2 linked regions of the Stegostoma tigrinum genome follow. The protein of the gene in region 2 purifies or fractionates together with the protein of the main gene of each other region. This does not show direct contact. Links are inferred from orthologs where the notes say so. Each region holds a gene or a part of one and is shown on either strand. Other genes may lie near its edges.

The links. Proteins that work in one complex are often made in the same cells at the same time.
Region 1: the proteins of E3 ubiquitin-protein ligase RNF185 (region 2) and tmem259 purify together in Homo sapiens (affinity purification with mass spectrometry; 3 studies listed by BioGRID and IntAct, counting the BioPlex papers as one, with this or other methods). This does not show direct contact. The link is inferred for Stegostoma tigrinum from reciprocal best matches to the Homo sapiens genes RNF185 and TMEM259.

What each region holds. Positions count from the first base shown.
Region 1 is NC_081383.1:28,749,853-28,757,860, forward strand, and holds the start of tmem259 (membralin), read right to left. Parts: upstream 3,006-8,008; 5' UTR 2,780-3,005; coding exon 2,600-2,779; intron 1-2,599. UniProt on the Homo sapiens protein: May have a role in the ERAD pathway required for clearance of misfolded proteins in the endoplasmic reticulum (ER). Promotes survival of motor neurons, probably by protecting against ER stress.
Region 2 is NC_081379.1:51,227,348-51,234,959, forward strand, and holds the start of E3 ubiquitin-protein ligase RNF185, read right to left. Parts: upstream 3,012-7,612; 5' UTR 1-3,011. Other genes in the region: c-Myc-binding protein, read right to left, coding at 5,222-5,266. UniProt on the Homo sapiens protein: E3 ubiquitin-protein ligase that regulates selective mitochondrial autophagy by mediating 'Lys-63'-linked polyubiquitination of BNIP1.

The sequences.
Region 1 (8,008 bases), on a different chromosome or scaffold from region 2:
TGGGCAGAGTTAGAGAATGAAGACAGTCAGCTGCGACAGTATTGCAACAGTCAATCTAGAGGTAACAAAGACACGGATGTGGGTTTTAGGAGTGTTTCTCTCGTGGGGGAATCCAGATACAGTGACCACAGATTTTAAATAATTCCTCCCTCATGACAGCTGTTGATCTTTTCCCCACCTCAAAAGAGCAATGGATACTGGATTATTAAAAATACTCAAGACTGTCTCTCATTGAGATTGCAAATGTGTGGCTTGATGGTCATCTCAGGTGTGAGACCAAGCTGGTAAACAATATTGTAAACAGCATCTCATATTCCACTTGGGAACCCTGCTGCCCAATGGTATCAATGTGAACTTCAGATGCTTCAAAATCTCCCCTCCACCTTCCATTTCCCAAAACCAGCCAAGCTTGTACCTGCCTCCCTAACCTGTCCTTCCTCCCACCTCAAGCCCCACCCCCATCTCCTACCTACTAGCCTCATCCTGCCCCTTTGACCTGTCTGTCCTCCTAGGACTGACCTATCCCCTCCTGATCTCCCCACCAACACTCACCTTCCCTGCCTCTTTGAACTGTCTGTCTCCTCTCCACCTATCTTTTCCTTTGTCCATCTTCCATCCACCTCGCCCCCTCTTCCTATTTATTTCAGAACCTTCAGCACTCCCATTTCTGAGAAAGGGTCTAGGCCCAAAACGTCAGCTTTCCTGCTCATCTGATGCTGCTTGGCCTGCTGTGTTCATCCAGCTCTGCACCTTATCATCTCAGATTCTCCAGTATCTGCAGTTCCTACAATCTCCAGTAAACAGTATGGTTCAGCCTCAAATACTGTCAGGGAGAGGGGTGGTTTTAGCAATCAGAGACAATTGTTTCAGTCTTCTCAATACCTAGATGGGAAATATTTCTGCACATATCCACAGTACTGAATATTAGAAGTAGTCTGACAATTTAGTGTCAACAGGAAGCTCAGAAGAACCGAGGATCTTGAAGTATTGTCCACAGATTCCTGAAAGTGGCCGGACAGATTAATGGGGTTGTTCAAGTTGCATTTGGGATGCTAGCCTTTGTCACTCAAGGTGTGGATTATAAGAACAGAGAGATTATGTTGGAGCTGTACAGAATTTTGATTACGTCACAGCTGGAGTACTGTGTGCAGTTTTGGTCACATTATAGGATGCGATTGCATTACAGATGGTGGAGAGGAAATTCACTAGAATGTTGTCTCGGATGGAGTATTTCAGCTATGAGGAGAAGCTGAATAAGCTTGGCTTGGTTTTCTTTGGAGCAGGGAAGTTCAGGAAGAACCGGTTTTGAGGTGTTTAACATTACAAGGTTCATGGATAGCGTGGACAGACAGCAACTGCACCCTTTACTGGAAGGGTCAAGAACGGGGAGCACATACACAGAGGTCGGAAGGGATTTGAAGATAATGTTTTTCACTCAGAGGGTGGTGGGGTCTGGAATGCACTGCCTGGGAGGGTATTTGAGGCAGATGAACTGACAATCTTTAACAAGTACTTGGATAAATAAATAAATACTTTAATTGTCATAACATTCAAGGCCATGGGCTTAGTGTGGTAAAGTGAGACTAGTGAAGGTAGAAGCACATTCTTTGGCAGCACAGACTTGATTGGCCAAAGGGACTCTTCTGTACTATATGATTTATGAAGGGTTTGAGAGAGAATGGTCAGGCAAAGTTAGGTGTCATAGGTTTACACATGACAAGTGACAATATTTTTGGATATCACCAAGGAGCAGTGTGTAAATGAGGACTAGGAAAGCTTCAAAGAGTAATGCCAGATATGACAGCACTGTCAGGCAGAGCAGATACAAGAAGTCAGCATACTCTTACATGGGAAAGTAAGGAAAAGGTAACGCATATAACTTTCCTAGCCGCAGAATTTAATGGATATGAATGAACCTGGCAAGCGTACTCTCACCCATTTGGATAACAATGGAGATGCACTGGAGAATAGTATGGTTAATCATGCTAAAGGTTACATAACAGCATAGAATGATAGATTAGTTACTTTTTGCCACCATTACTTGTCTGAGATTTTACCTTCATGAGGCTGAAACCTGATATGAAGGGACTCCAAAATGGGATTTTAGAAAGAGTTGAGAGGTGATACGTTTAAGAACTTTAGAGAGGGAAAAAGAAAGAAATTGAAGTGCTGGCTGTGTGTAAAGATGGAAGGGTTATTCATTTGAAGGGAAGGCTGATGACAGATTGCAACTAGAAGTAGCTAGTTTGTAATTAATGGTATAGAACTTTTACTGATGTTAGGTAACATGGAGGCAAGGATAACAACTTGATTATTGAGTATATATAATGCATTCCCCAAGCAACTTCCTGCAAACGTTTTGTAATCAAAATCTAGTGGCTTTATTACAACGCTACCGTGCATGTGACCGTAAAGTTAAATATACAAGGGAACATATTAAGTAAAGGAGGTAACGATCCCAAACCAGGGCACGAAAGGTGCACATGCGCAATTCTCTGCGCACCCCCCCCCCCGCCAACAATCAATCTCATCTCGAGCCAGGGGCCTCCTATCCCTTTCCCAGCGATATCCCTCAAAAATTAAAAATAACAATATTGACCTTCAGCAGCACGAAGAACTCAAACATTCTGCGGAAAGATGGGGGGAACACCCTGGCGTATGTCACGGCCATCTTAAAGAAGAGTGCGTGGAAGAGCCGGTCCCGGACATTGATGAGCGGGTTCGGGTTCAGGTTGTTGTTTCTCACCCGGTTCGGGTTGTTGGGCTGATTTTCCGACATTTTCCTGAACTCCAGCTAACGCGCGGGCTTCTTTTAAATTTCAAAATAGAAAGCTTTTGAGTTTTTGTCCGAACAACGTTATGTCAGAGAAATCATTCGTCGCGCAGCCGAGTCAATTTTCACAGTTTTTGCCCCTCCTCGGCCGTGTTCTGTACTCCGTCCAGCCCAGACCCACCGTTTCCCACTCCGCACCGCGTTCACAGCACCCATTCCGACTCCCAATCATTGCGCCCCCACCAGATGGGAGGACTTACTACCGGACCCCCCCGTTACAACTCCTCATCATACTGCCGTTGGCGGTTGGGAGGAGCTACTACACATCACGCGCATAGACACGACTCTGATAAACCCAAGAGATGACAAGATGCGCACCAAGCAGCATCAAAGCAGCAGGAAGGCTGACGTTTCGGGTCTGGACCCTTCTTCAAAAATGGGGGAGGGGAAAGGGGTTCTGAAATAAATAGGGTGATAATGGGGACTGCAGATGCTGGAGAATCCAAGATAATAAAGTGTGAAGCTGGATGAACACAGCAGACTTCCTGAGATAATGGGAACTGCAGATGCTGGAGAATCCAAGATAATAAAATGTGAGGCTGGATGAACACAGCAGGCCAAGCAGCATCTCAGGAGCACAAAAGCTGACGTTTCGGGCCTAGACCCTTCATCAGAGAGGGGGATGGGGAGAGGGAACTGGAATAAATAGGCAGAGAGGGGGAGGCGGACCGAAGATGGAGAGTAAAGAAGATAGGTGGAGAGGAGAGTATAGGTGGGGAGGTAGGGAGGAGATAGGTCAGTCCAGGGAAGACGGACAGGTCAAGGAGGTGGGATGAGGTTAGTAGGTAGCTGGTGGTGCGGCTTGGGGTGGGAGGAAGGGATGGGTGAGAGGAAGAGCCGGTTAGGGAGGCAGAGACAGGTTGGACTGGTTTTGGGATGCAGTCGGTGGGGGGGAAGAGCTGGGCTGGTTGTGTGGTGCAGTGGGGGGAGGGGACGAACTGGGCTGGTTTTGGGATGCGGTGGGGGAAGGGGAGATTTTGAAACTGGTGAAGTCCACATTGATACCATTAGGCTGCAGGGTTCCCAGGCGGAATATGAGTTGCTGTTCCTGCAACCTTCGGGTGGCATCATTGTGGCAGTGCAGGAGGCCCACGATGGACATATCATCTAGAGAATGGGAGGGGGAGTGGAAATGGTTTGCGACTGGGAGGTGCAGTTGTTTGTTGCGAACTGAGCGGAGGTGTTCTGCAAAGCGGTTCCCAAGCCTCCGCTTGGTTTCCCCAATGTAGAGGAAGCCGCACCGGGTACAGTGGATGCAGTATACCACATTGGCAGATGTGCAGGTGAACCTCTGCTTAATGTGGAATGTCATCTTGGGGCCTGGGATAGGGGTGAGGGAGGAGGTGTGGGGACAAGTGTAGCATTTCCTGCGGTTGCAGGGGAAGGTGCCGGGTGTGGTGGGGTTGGAGGGCAGTGTGGAGCGAACAAGGGAGTCACGGAGAGAGTGGTCTCTCCGGAAAGCAGACAGGGGAGGGGATGGAAAAATGTCTTGGGTGGTGGGGTCGGATTGTAAATGGCGGAAGTGTCGGAGGATGATGCTTTGTATCCGGAGGTTGGTACGGTGGTGTGTAAGAACGAGGGGGATCCTCTTAGGGCGGTTGAGGCGGGGGCGGGGTGTGAGGGATGTGTTGCGGGAAATACGGGAGACGCGGTCAAGGGCGTTCTCGATCACCGTGCGGTCCTTAAAGAGCTTATCAAGAACTCCCTTGACCGCGTCTCCCGTATTTCCCGCAACACATCCCTCACACCCCGCCCCCGCCTCAACCGCTCTAAGAGGATCCCCCTCGTTCTCACACACCACCCTACCAACCTCCGGATACAACGCATCATCCTCCGACACTTCCGCCATTTACAATCCGACCCCACCACCCAAGACATTTTTCCATCCCCTCCCCTGTCTGCTTTCCGGAGAGACCACTCTCTCCGTGACTCCCTTGTTCGCTCCACACTGCCCTCCAACCCCACCACACCCGGCACCTTCCCCTGCAACCGCAGGAAATGCTACACTTGTCCCCACACCTCCTCCCTCACCCCTATCCCAGGCCCCAAGATGACATTCCACATTAAGCAGAGGTTCACCTGCACATCTGCCAATGTGGTATACTGCATCCACTGTACCCGGTGTGGCTTCCTCTACATTGGGGAAACCAAGCGGAGGCTTGGGGACCGCTTTGCAGAACACCTCCGCTCAGTTCGCAACAAACAACTGCACCTCCCAGTTGCAAACCATTTCCACTCCCCCTCCCATTCTCTAGATGACATGTCCATCATGGGCCTCCTGCACTGCCACAATGATGCCACCCGAAGGTTGCAGGAACAGCAACTCATATTCAGCCTGGGTACCCTGCAGCCATATGGTATCAATGTGGACTTCACCAGTTTCAAAATCTCCCCTTCCCCTACTGCATCCCTAAACCAGCCTAGTTCGTCCCCTCCCCCCACTGCACCACACAACCAGCCCAGCTCTTCCCCCCCACCCACTGCATCCCAAAACCAGTCCAACCTGTCTCTGCCTCCCTAACCGGCTCTTCCTCTCACCCATCCCTTCCTCCCACCCCAAGCCGCACCCCCAGCTACCTACTAACCTCATCCCACCTCCTTGACCTGTCCGTCTTCCCTGGACTGACCTATCCCCTCCCTACCTCCCCACCTATACTCTCTCCATCTATCTTCTTTACTCTCCATCTTCGGTCCGCCTCCCCCCTCTCCCTATTTATTCCAGTTCCCTCTCCCCATCCCCCTCTCTGATGAAGGGTCTAGGCCCGAAACGTCAGACTTCCTGAGATGCTGCTTGGCCTGCTGTGTTCATCCAGCTTCACACTTTATTATCTAGGGTGAGAGGGGGAGGCGGATAGAAGATGGATAAAGGAGCAAATAGGTGGAGAGAAGACAAACAGGTCAAAAAGGCGGGGGTGGAGCCAGAAAAGGTGAGTGTATGTGGGGAGTTAGGGAGGGGATAAGTCAGTCCAGGGAGGACGGAAACGTCAAGGGGGCGGGATGAGGTTAGTAGGTAGGAGGTGGGGGTGGAGCCTGAGGTGGGAGGAAGGACAGGTTAAGCAGGCTGGGACGAGCTGGTTTGGTTTTGGGATGCAGTGGGTGGAGAGGAGATTTTGAAGCTTGTGAAGTCCACATTGGTACCATTAGGCTGCAGAGTTCCCAAGTGGAATATGAGTTGCTGTTACTGCAACCTTCGGGTGGCATCGTTGTGGCACTGCAAGAGGCCCAGGATGGACATGTCATCTGAGTAATGGGAGGGGGAGTTGAAATGGTTTGCAACTGTAGAGGAGGTCTCCTCTACATCAGGGAAACCAAGCGAAGGCTTGGGGACCGCTTTGTGGAACACCTACGCTTAGTTTGCCCTAAACAACTACACCTCGCAGTCGCAAACCATTTCAACTCCCCCTCCCTCTCCTCAGATGACAAGTCCATCCTGGGCCTCCTGTAGTGCCACAACGATGCCACCTGAAAGTTGCAGGAACAGCAACTCATATTTCGCTTGGGAACCCTGCAGCCCAATGGTATCGATGTGGACTTCACAAGCTTCAAAATCTCCCCTCCCATCCACCGCATCCCAAAACCAGCCCAACTTGTCCCTGCCTCCCTAACCTGTCCTTCCTCCCAACTCAAGCTCCACCCTCATCTCCTACCTACTAGCCTCATCATGCACCCTCGACCTGTCCATCCTCCCTGGACTGATCTATCCCCTCCCTAACTCCCCACCTACACCCACCTTTACTGGCTCAATCCCTGCCTTTTTGACCTGTCTGTCTCCTCTCCACCTATCTTCTCCTTTATCCATCTTCCATCCGCCTCCCCCTCTCTCCCTATTTATTTAAGAACCCCCTTCCCCTCCCCCATTTCTGAAGAAGGGTCTAGGCCCAAAACGTCAGCTTTCCTGCTCTAATACTGCTTGGCCTGCTGTGTTCATCCACCTCTACACCTTGTTAGTTCAGATTCTCCAGCATCTGCAATTCCTATTATCTCTATTGTTAAACCCCAATGATAGCATCCTTGCGAGCTTGGTGGACTTACAACACCATCCACACATACCGAGAGAGTTGCAGCTCCAAATCAACCACGCCGGTTTGCAGGTATTACTACGCTTCCCCTCCCGCGTGCACACACAACTTCACGTTCCAAAACCCAACCACAGCGAACACAGGAAAACATTATTCAACTCTCAACCAAGGTGCCATCTCCGGCTGGGATGGGTGACTGCATCCACATGCAGGGAAGCAGTGCCTTCCCTGCAGCAACAATCTGATGTCCATAAACTGCGCCTCCACCAAGCAGGGTTGAGTTCTCGCATCTGTGGGAGACACTGCACTCCATATAGAGTCATGTCCAGGAACTTGTGTAGGATTTGCTGAAATATGCACAAGATCACAAGAATATTGTAAGGTGTTTCAGAAAATCATTCTGAAAGTACTTTCTACTAACAATATAATCAACACTGTTTTAAATGTTTACATTTATAGAAAATATTAGTATGTCAGCATGTGTAAATTCATAATTTGAAATGAAGAACACAGTGTAGGAATCATGAAATATTTTTTCTGTCTGCCAGATTTTAGGAATTTGAACAGTAATTTCAGTCATCATCAAACCTAGATCAGGCAAATTAAGACTCATTGTAGTTGTCTTGGGTGATGGTTCTGAAACCATCTGTTGGATACAATATTGAGCTCACCCAATCTGATAATAAGTATTTTGGTGAGGGGATATCAGCCTACTGGCAGTAATTTTCAGACCCTCTCTGGCCACTGGTTAATTGTTTGAGGACTGGAGAACTGTTCACCGTATTTTTTTAAATGGAGAGAAGATATAAGTGAGGAAATTACAGACCAGTCAATCTAACCTTGGTGGCAGTTCTGAAGTACAGAATATATCTGCACTTGGAGATACTTAAAGATTAATCAGGGTTAGAGAGCGTGGATTTGTTAAGGGAAATTTGTGTTTGACAAAGTTGATCAAATTTTTGGAGGAGGTGACCAGGAACGTTGATGAGGGTAATGCTATATACATGGACTTCAGCGAGGCTTTTGATAACGTCTCTCATGATCAACTGGGCAAGAAAGTAAGACCCATGGGGTAATAAGGCATAGTGGCATATTGGATCTAAAATTTGCTGAGAGGCAGAAGGCAGAGGGTGATGGTACTAATCAGACTACTGCT
Region 2 (7,612 bases):
TCTAGCCTACCAGCCTGTTTCACGTTGGCCTCCTCTACAACTAGGTCCCTCTCAGTTATGAATCCTGAAGAAAAGTATTAATTAAGGACCTCTCGTATCGCTTTAGGCTCCGTGCACAAATTCCCTTTACAATCCTTGATTGGCCCTGCCCTTTCTCTGATCATTCTCTTATTCCTCACTAATGTGTAAAAAGCCTTGGAGTTTTCCTTGATCCTATCTGTTAAGGTTTTCTCATGCCCCCTTATTGCTCTCCTACACCCTTTCTTCAGATCCTTTCTGGCTAACTTGTATCCCTCTGGAGTCTTTTCCAAGCCTTGTTTCCTAAACCTTATATAAGCATCCTAGTCATTCAACCTCTCTTAAGAACCAAGGCTGCCTCACTCAACCGCATCTTCCTTGCCTGCTCGGGACAAACATATTGAGCACACGCAGTATGCATTCCTTAAACAATCTCCGCATTTCAGAGAGCTCTTCCCTGACATCATCTGTTCCCATTTTTTTTACCCAGTTCTCGCCTAACAGAATTGTAATTACCCTTCCCCCAATTATAAACCTTACTCTGCTGTACATACCTATCCTTTTCCGTGACTATTGTAAAAGTAACAGTGATGATTGCTAACGCCAAAATGCTCTTCGACCAACAGGTCTAACAGTTGGCCTGGTTCATTGCCAAGCACCAAATCGAAAATCACCTTTCCTCATGTTGGTCTATTACATACTGTGTCAGTAATCCTTTCTGAATGCACTGGACAAAATCTAAACTACTACAACTAGATTGTTTCCAATCAATATTTGGAAAGTTGAAGTCACCCAGACTACAACCCTGTGAGTTCTGCACCTTTTCAGTATCTGCCTCCCAATCTGCTCCTCCACTTCTCTGCAACTATTAGGGGGTCTGTAAAAAAACTCCCAACAAGTTGCCTGTAATAGGGTGATAGTGAGCAGCATTCTTGGACTGCTCCAGTTTGTGTGTTGTCAGGGCACACACGACCTGTTTGAGAGGAGGGTTACAGGATTTTGACCCAGCAATAGCGTAGGGATAGGGATTTCTTTCCAATCCACCATCCAAGTCAGGATGGTGAGTCACTCAGAGGGGATCTTTTCTTGCCTTGTCCTCCTTGGTGGTCGCTGCCATCGGTTTGTAAGGTTTAAAAAGCCTGGATGAGTTGTCTAGGTGCATCTTGTAGATGCTACACAGTACCGCTGCTGCAAATCACACAGTATCCTTAGTTGGAACTTACTCATCATCCTTTGCTGTTATTGGGACAAAATCCTGGAATTGTCTTCCTTACAGCACTGTGGGTGTATCTACAACACAATGCAATGGTTCAAGAAAGCAGCTCACCATCACCTTCTACAGGACAATCAGGGACACTCGAGACAGCAATGCCCACATTGTTTGCAAAGAACAAACGTAAGGACTGATGTATTGTTCATAGTAACATCTCTACCAGTCAACACACTGCTTCTTACAGGAGAAATGTCATGTTCCCCTGGTTACAGAGTCAAAGATGTACAACACAGAAATAGACCCTTCAGTCCAATTCATCTATGCTGCCGAGATATGCTGAATTAATCTAGTCCCATTTGCCAGCATTTGGCCCATATCCCTCTAAACCCCTCCTAGTCATGTTCCCATCCAGATGTCTTTTAATTTTTGTAACAGTAGCAACCTCCTACACTTCCTCTGGCAGCTGATTCCATACATGCACTGCGCAAAAAAGTTGCCTCTTAGGTTCCCTTTAAATCTTTCCCCTCTCACCGTAAACCTATACCTTCTAGTTTTTGACTCCACTATGCTGGGGAAAAGGCCTTGACTATTCACCCTATCCATGCCCCTCATGATCTTTATAAACCTCTATAAGGTCACCTCTCAGCCTTTTCCTCCAGCTCAAACCTACCAACTGTGGCAACATCCTTAAAAATGTTTTCTGAACCCAAGTTTCACAACATCTTTCCTTTATCAGAGAGACCAGGATCAAACACAGCATTCCAACAGTAGCCTAACCAATGTCCTGTACCACCACAACATGACCTCCCAACTCTTTTGCTCAATGCACTGACCAATAAAGACAGGCATACGAAAGGTCTTCTTCACTGACCTGTCTACCAGTGACTTTCAAGGAACTACAAACCTGCATATCAAGGTGTCTGTTTGACAACACTCCCCTACACCTTACTTTTAAGTGTATTATTCTTGCCTGATTTCCTTACCAAAGTATAGCATCTCACATTTATCTAATAAACTCCATCTGTCACTCCTCAGACCATCTGACCAAGGTCCTGTTGGACTCCAAGGTAACCTTATTTGCTATCCTTGGCAACAATTTTAGTGTGATCTACAAAGTTATTAACCATACCTCCTATATTCATATCCAAATAGCTTCTACAAATAACAAAACAAAAAAAAAAATCAGACCCAGCACCAATCCCTGCAGGAAACTGCTGGTCACAGGCCTCCAATCCAAAAAGCAACCCTCCACAACATCCTAGTTCCTACCTTCTAGCCAATTTTGTATCCAAATGGCTGGTTCTCCCTGTATTCCGTATGAACTAACCCTGTTAGGCAGTCTTTCATGCAGAACCTTGTTGAATGCCTTACTGAGCATGCAGACGTTGACTGCTGTGCCTTCAATCCTCTTCATCACGTCTTCAAACAACTTAATCAAGTTAGTGGGACATGATTTCCCATACACAAAGACATGTTGACTATTCCTAGATCAGCACTTGCATTTCCAAATAAACATAAATCCTGTCCCTCAGACCCTCCTCCAACAACTTGCCCACCAGTCTAAGTTTTTTGGCTTTACCTTTCTACATTTCTTAAATAACAGCATCACGTTGACCAACCTCTAGTCTTCCAGCACCTCACCCATGGCTATTGATGATGCCAAAATATTTGGCAAGGGGTCCAGAAATCACTTCCTTAGCTTCTCACAAAGTTCTAGGGTACACTTGATCTGCTCCCAGGGATTTATCCACCTTTTTGTGTTTTAAGACTTCAGCACCACCGCCATTGTAATATACGGATAACACAGGGTGGAGCTGGAGGAACACAGCAGGCCAGGCAGCATCTGAGGACCAGGAAAGCTGACGTTTCGGGTCAGGACCTTTGTTCAGAATCCTGACCCAAAACTGGCCTGCTGTGTTCCTCCAGCTCCACCCTGTGTTATCTCTGACCCCGGCACTGGCAGTTCTTACTGTCTCCATTGTAAGAGATGCTTCAAGATATCACTATTTATTTACTCCAATTCCATATCTTTCTGCACGGTAAACACTTCCCTTGCCTGCATCAGGATAATTTTGCAAATGAAAATTTTCAAAGCGTGTTAATATTTAGTTAATCATTGCTGTATCTTCTCAAAGTTTTTAATCATCCTTCCCCAAGTGCAGTTTGACAAGATATTTGAATTGTGATGGACAAGTACTTTACAAAAGTTCATATTTGTTTTGCTTCTGTACGTGATACTTCTATTTGTGAAGCCTACGATCCTGATTGCTTTTACAATACTTTCTTAACGTGCCTTGTTGCTTTTAATTTGCCCCATGTTCCTGTACCTCTCTAGAATTCTACAAATACATATTGCATTTCTCCATTTCTCAAGCATGAATTATCCATGCTTCTCTTCATAACCCCTCCATCAACTTGTGTCCTATTAAAATCTTGCAGTATCTTCTTCAGATTTTACTATATTTCCAGATTTTGTCATCTGTAAATTTATGTGTGCTCAGCTCAGCATATATCAAAAAAAAAGGGTTCCTAATAACCCTACAACACATCTTTCTCCAGTTTGAAAATGTAGTTCGCTGTCACTCAGGTAATTTTGTCTCAAAGGTGCTGTGGGCCCTTTTGTCCTATGGGCAACAAATTTTATCAATATCTTTCAAAAGTCCGTTTTCCATCAGGTGAATCAAATGTGACTTGGCATTCACATATTAATCCATACTTATCCTGGTGACTGTTTGTTTTATCTTGGAAGGAATACTGATGGGAGAAGAGAAAAGAGTAGAAGCCAGATCGAGAAAAGAGAAAGAAATGAAGATAAGGGAGAACAGAACATGAACCTGAAAGGGGAGTGAGTAGGTGGGTGGGGAAAGGGGAAGGACATGAGCATGTGAGGGAGTGGATAATAAGAAGCTGAGAGAAAATGGATGATTGGCCAGGGAAGAGAGCAGTTACTTAAGTTCATTCTGCAAAGAAATAAAAGAGGAAAGTGACAGAGTTAGACACGGCTCCATCTGAAGGACTGAGACAAGTACACAAGGAGGGGCGGGACAGTGTCATTCCATTACAAATGCAAATCCTGGGCTTGCCTCTAGAACAAAAATCTTTTAATACTGGTTAATCTAGTGTTTTATCATCAAGAAACATACCAATGATGTGCAAAGAAAATTTATTCAGTGAATACAAAAAAGGGAAAAATTGAACTTCTGTACAACTAAAAAAACAATAAAACTTGGACATTAATTGAGCCAAATGGGCCTGGTTTCAGCATTAGTGTAGTTTGCTGATAAGATGTTCCTCCTGCTCCAAAAATGCCAGTGCCTAGTCACGTTAGTGGATCACGGCCTGGTTGCCAGATTTTGTCCAAAATACTGGCCCAATGACAGCAAACCATCCAACATGGTCAACATTCATACTTGACTGCTGCCAAGTTCCACTTGTTCAGTTTGGCTTGTGAACTGATATACAGATTCTATTGGCCTAATGTGACTTAAAGCTATTAACCCCTAGCTTATCCGTCCCCATGTCCCCCAAACTAACAGGATATGCCAGACAAGAGTGCTCAGTACTGTTCCCCACAAAGTGCAAAATGACTTTAACAAACATGTTTGGTGAAACAAAGTTACTGAAATTTGTTTCAGAAATCTGGTAACATCATGCCAATATTAACAAAATTTAGGATCCAATGAAACATGTGCAACTTGCATTGGTTTGTAGGGCTATATCTGAATCAAATGTTTGTGTAGAATTTAGATGCATTGAGTAAAAATTCTGTTGAATATCCACTTCCAAATGCTGCATTGCAGACAGGTATACAACAATGGCATAATTTTTTTTAGCTTAAAGTAACTTTTGTTTTGGCATGTGTAACCTAAAATGACTGGCTGCATTTCTTCCAGAATAGGTGCCAATTCTCCAAAATTAATACTATTTGCCAGATGATTTTATCAGATCCCTTTCATGCATTCTTCTGATAACGTGGGAAGTCTTGAATTATTATTCAGGTTGCCCTTCCTCTTTTGGGGGCTCGAACTGTGCAAGCTGTGAACAACAGATTGAAATACTTTAGCTCTCATTAAAATGAATTTCAGAGATTTCCACATCAAAAACGTGTCACTAACTATATCTGAAAATTCTGCATTGCTCTGATTGAAACAGTTATCATTTTGCGGTTCAAGAAAACTTAGAATATAAAGTTGTTCTACAAAATGCACAAACCAGAACATGATTTTAAAAATAAAGAGTTCAACATAGAATCTGCAGTATAGAATGTGAACAGAATTTTTTCAAACATTCTGCCGTGATCACAGGGTCTTAATGGTTTCAAGCACACTAACAGCCCCTAAAAAGCAAACAAAAATACCCGCAAGAATTTGATCCCTGAAATAACATCCCTTTAAAATTTAATTCACACTGTCGAGTTGACTTGCCTGGTTGGCAGAGGAAATTAGACTGGAATCAGTTGACACTGGAGCTAGCCATATTGTGGAGCAATGGTTTATAAAAAAAACCTTTTAATGGGATAAATGGAACAGGGAACTGAAGTCACCAGACTAGGCAAAAAATTAAAACTCCTCCTGAAACTTACAATGAATTTGAATTGAAGAAATGCAGGTAATCAGGCTTCCCAAAAATCAGTAATACATTTTAGACGCAGGTGTGTCACCTTCCCATTGCTTTGCCATTACAGCAACAGAATCACACCAACTTTTTGTTACTTGAAAATAACTTCTAGAGTTTTAACAGTGCTAAGCTTTGTGATAAACCTAATAAGATTACCATGACAGAGCAAGAACATTAGATGGACAGACTTCAATAGAAAGCAGGTTGTTCAGCTGTTGTGCCTACAGCAGTTCCTTACTGGAATAGCCCTAAACTAATACCACTATTCCATTTTATCCTTATAACCTTTTTATCAGTTCCAAACTCAGTCACAACCCAAGAGGTGAGTTTGTGCATGGTTGTTCGGTTAGGCGTTGGAGACACAGGCTAGAAGCAACTTGGTTTAGAAATTGACGTTAAAAAGGAAGAGGAGTTGTGTGTCTTAGAAAGTCTTAAGGGTAGATAAATCCCTGGGTCTTGATGGGATTTATCCTAGAATATTGAGGGGAAACAAGAGAACAAATTGCTGGAGCATTGACAGACATCAGGACGGCATGGTGGCTCAGTGGTTAACAGTGCAGCCTCACAGCACCAGGGACACGGGTTTGATTCCAACCTCGGGCGACTGTCTGTGTGGAGTTTGCACATTCTCCCCTTGTCTGCGTGGGTTTCCTCCCACAGTCCAAAGATGTGCAGGCTAGGTGAATCAGCTATGCTAAATTGCCCGTAGTGTTCAGGGGTGTGTGGGTTATAGGGGGATGGGTCTGGGTGGGATGCCTCAAGGGGCAGTGTGGACTTGTTGGGCCGAAGGGCCTGTTTAAACACTGCAGGGAATCTATTCTTTATGTCCTCTTTGGTCACGCCTGAGGTCCCAGAGGGCTGGAGAATAGCTAACATAGTCCTATTGTTTAAAAAGGGTGGCAGGGATAATCCGGGCAATTCCAGGTCTGTGAGCCTCTTGTCAGTGGTAGGAAAGTTACTGGAAAAGATTCTTAGGAACAAGATCTATAAACATTTAGAAGTAAATTAACTGATTAGCAATTAACACATGGTTTAAGTGTGTGGTGGTCATGCCTCACTGACTTGATCAAATTTTTCAAGGGGGTGATGAAGATGATTGATGAAGGAAAAGCAGTTGATGTTGTCTACATGGACTCCAGTAAAACCATTGTCCACGTCCCTCATGACAGACTAGTACAAAAGGTGAAGTCACGTGGTGTCAGGTGCGAGCTGGCTTAGGCATAGGAGACAGAGGGTAGAGGTGGAAGGATAGTTTTTGGAATGGAGGAATGTCATGAGCGGTGTTCCGCAGGGATCAGTGCTGGATCTCACCTGTTTGTGATCTACATAAGTGATTTGGAGAGAAAAGTAGCTGGTCTAATTAGTAAGTCTGTGGACGTTACAAAGACTGGGGGAGTTGCAGATAGCGAGGAGGATTGTCAGAGGATATAACATGATACAAATCAGTTGGAGACATGGGCAGAAAAATAGCAGATGGAGTTTAAGCCAGACAAATATGTGAGGTGATGCATTTTGGAAGGTCACGTACAGGTGGAAGTTATAGAGTGAAAGGTAGAACCTTTCGGAATATTGATATGCAGAGAGATCTGGGTGTGCAGGTCCACAGATCACTGAAGATGGCAGCGCAGGTAGGCAAGGAGTAAAAAAGGCCTATGGCCTGCTTGCCTTCATTGGAAAGGGCACTGAGTACAAGAACAGACAAGTTATGCTGCAGCTTTATAGAACTTTAGTTAGGCCACACTTGGAATATTGCGTACAGGTCTG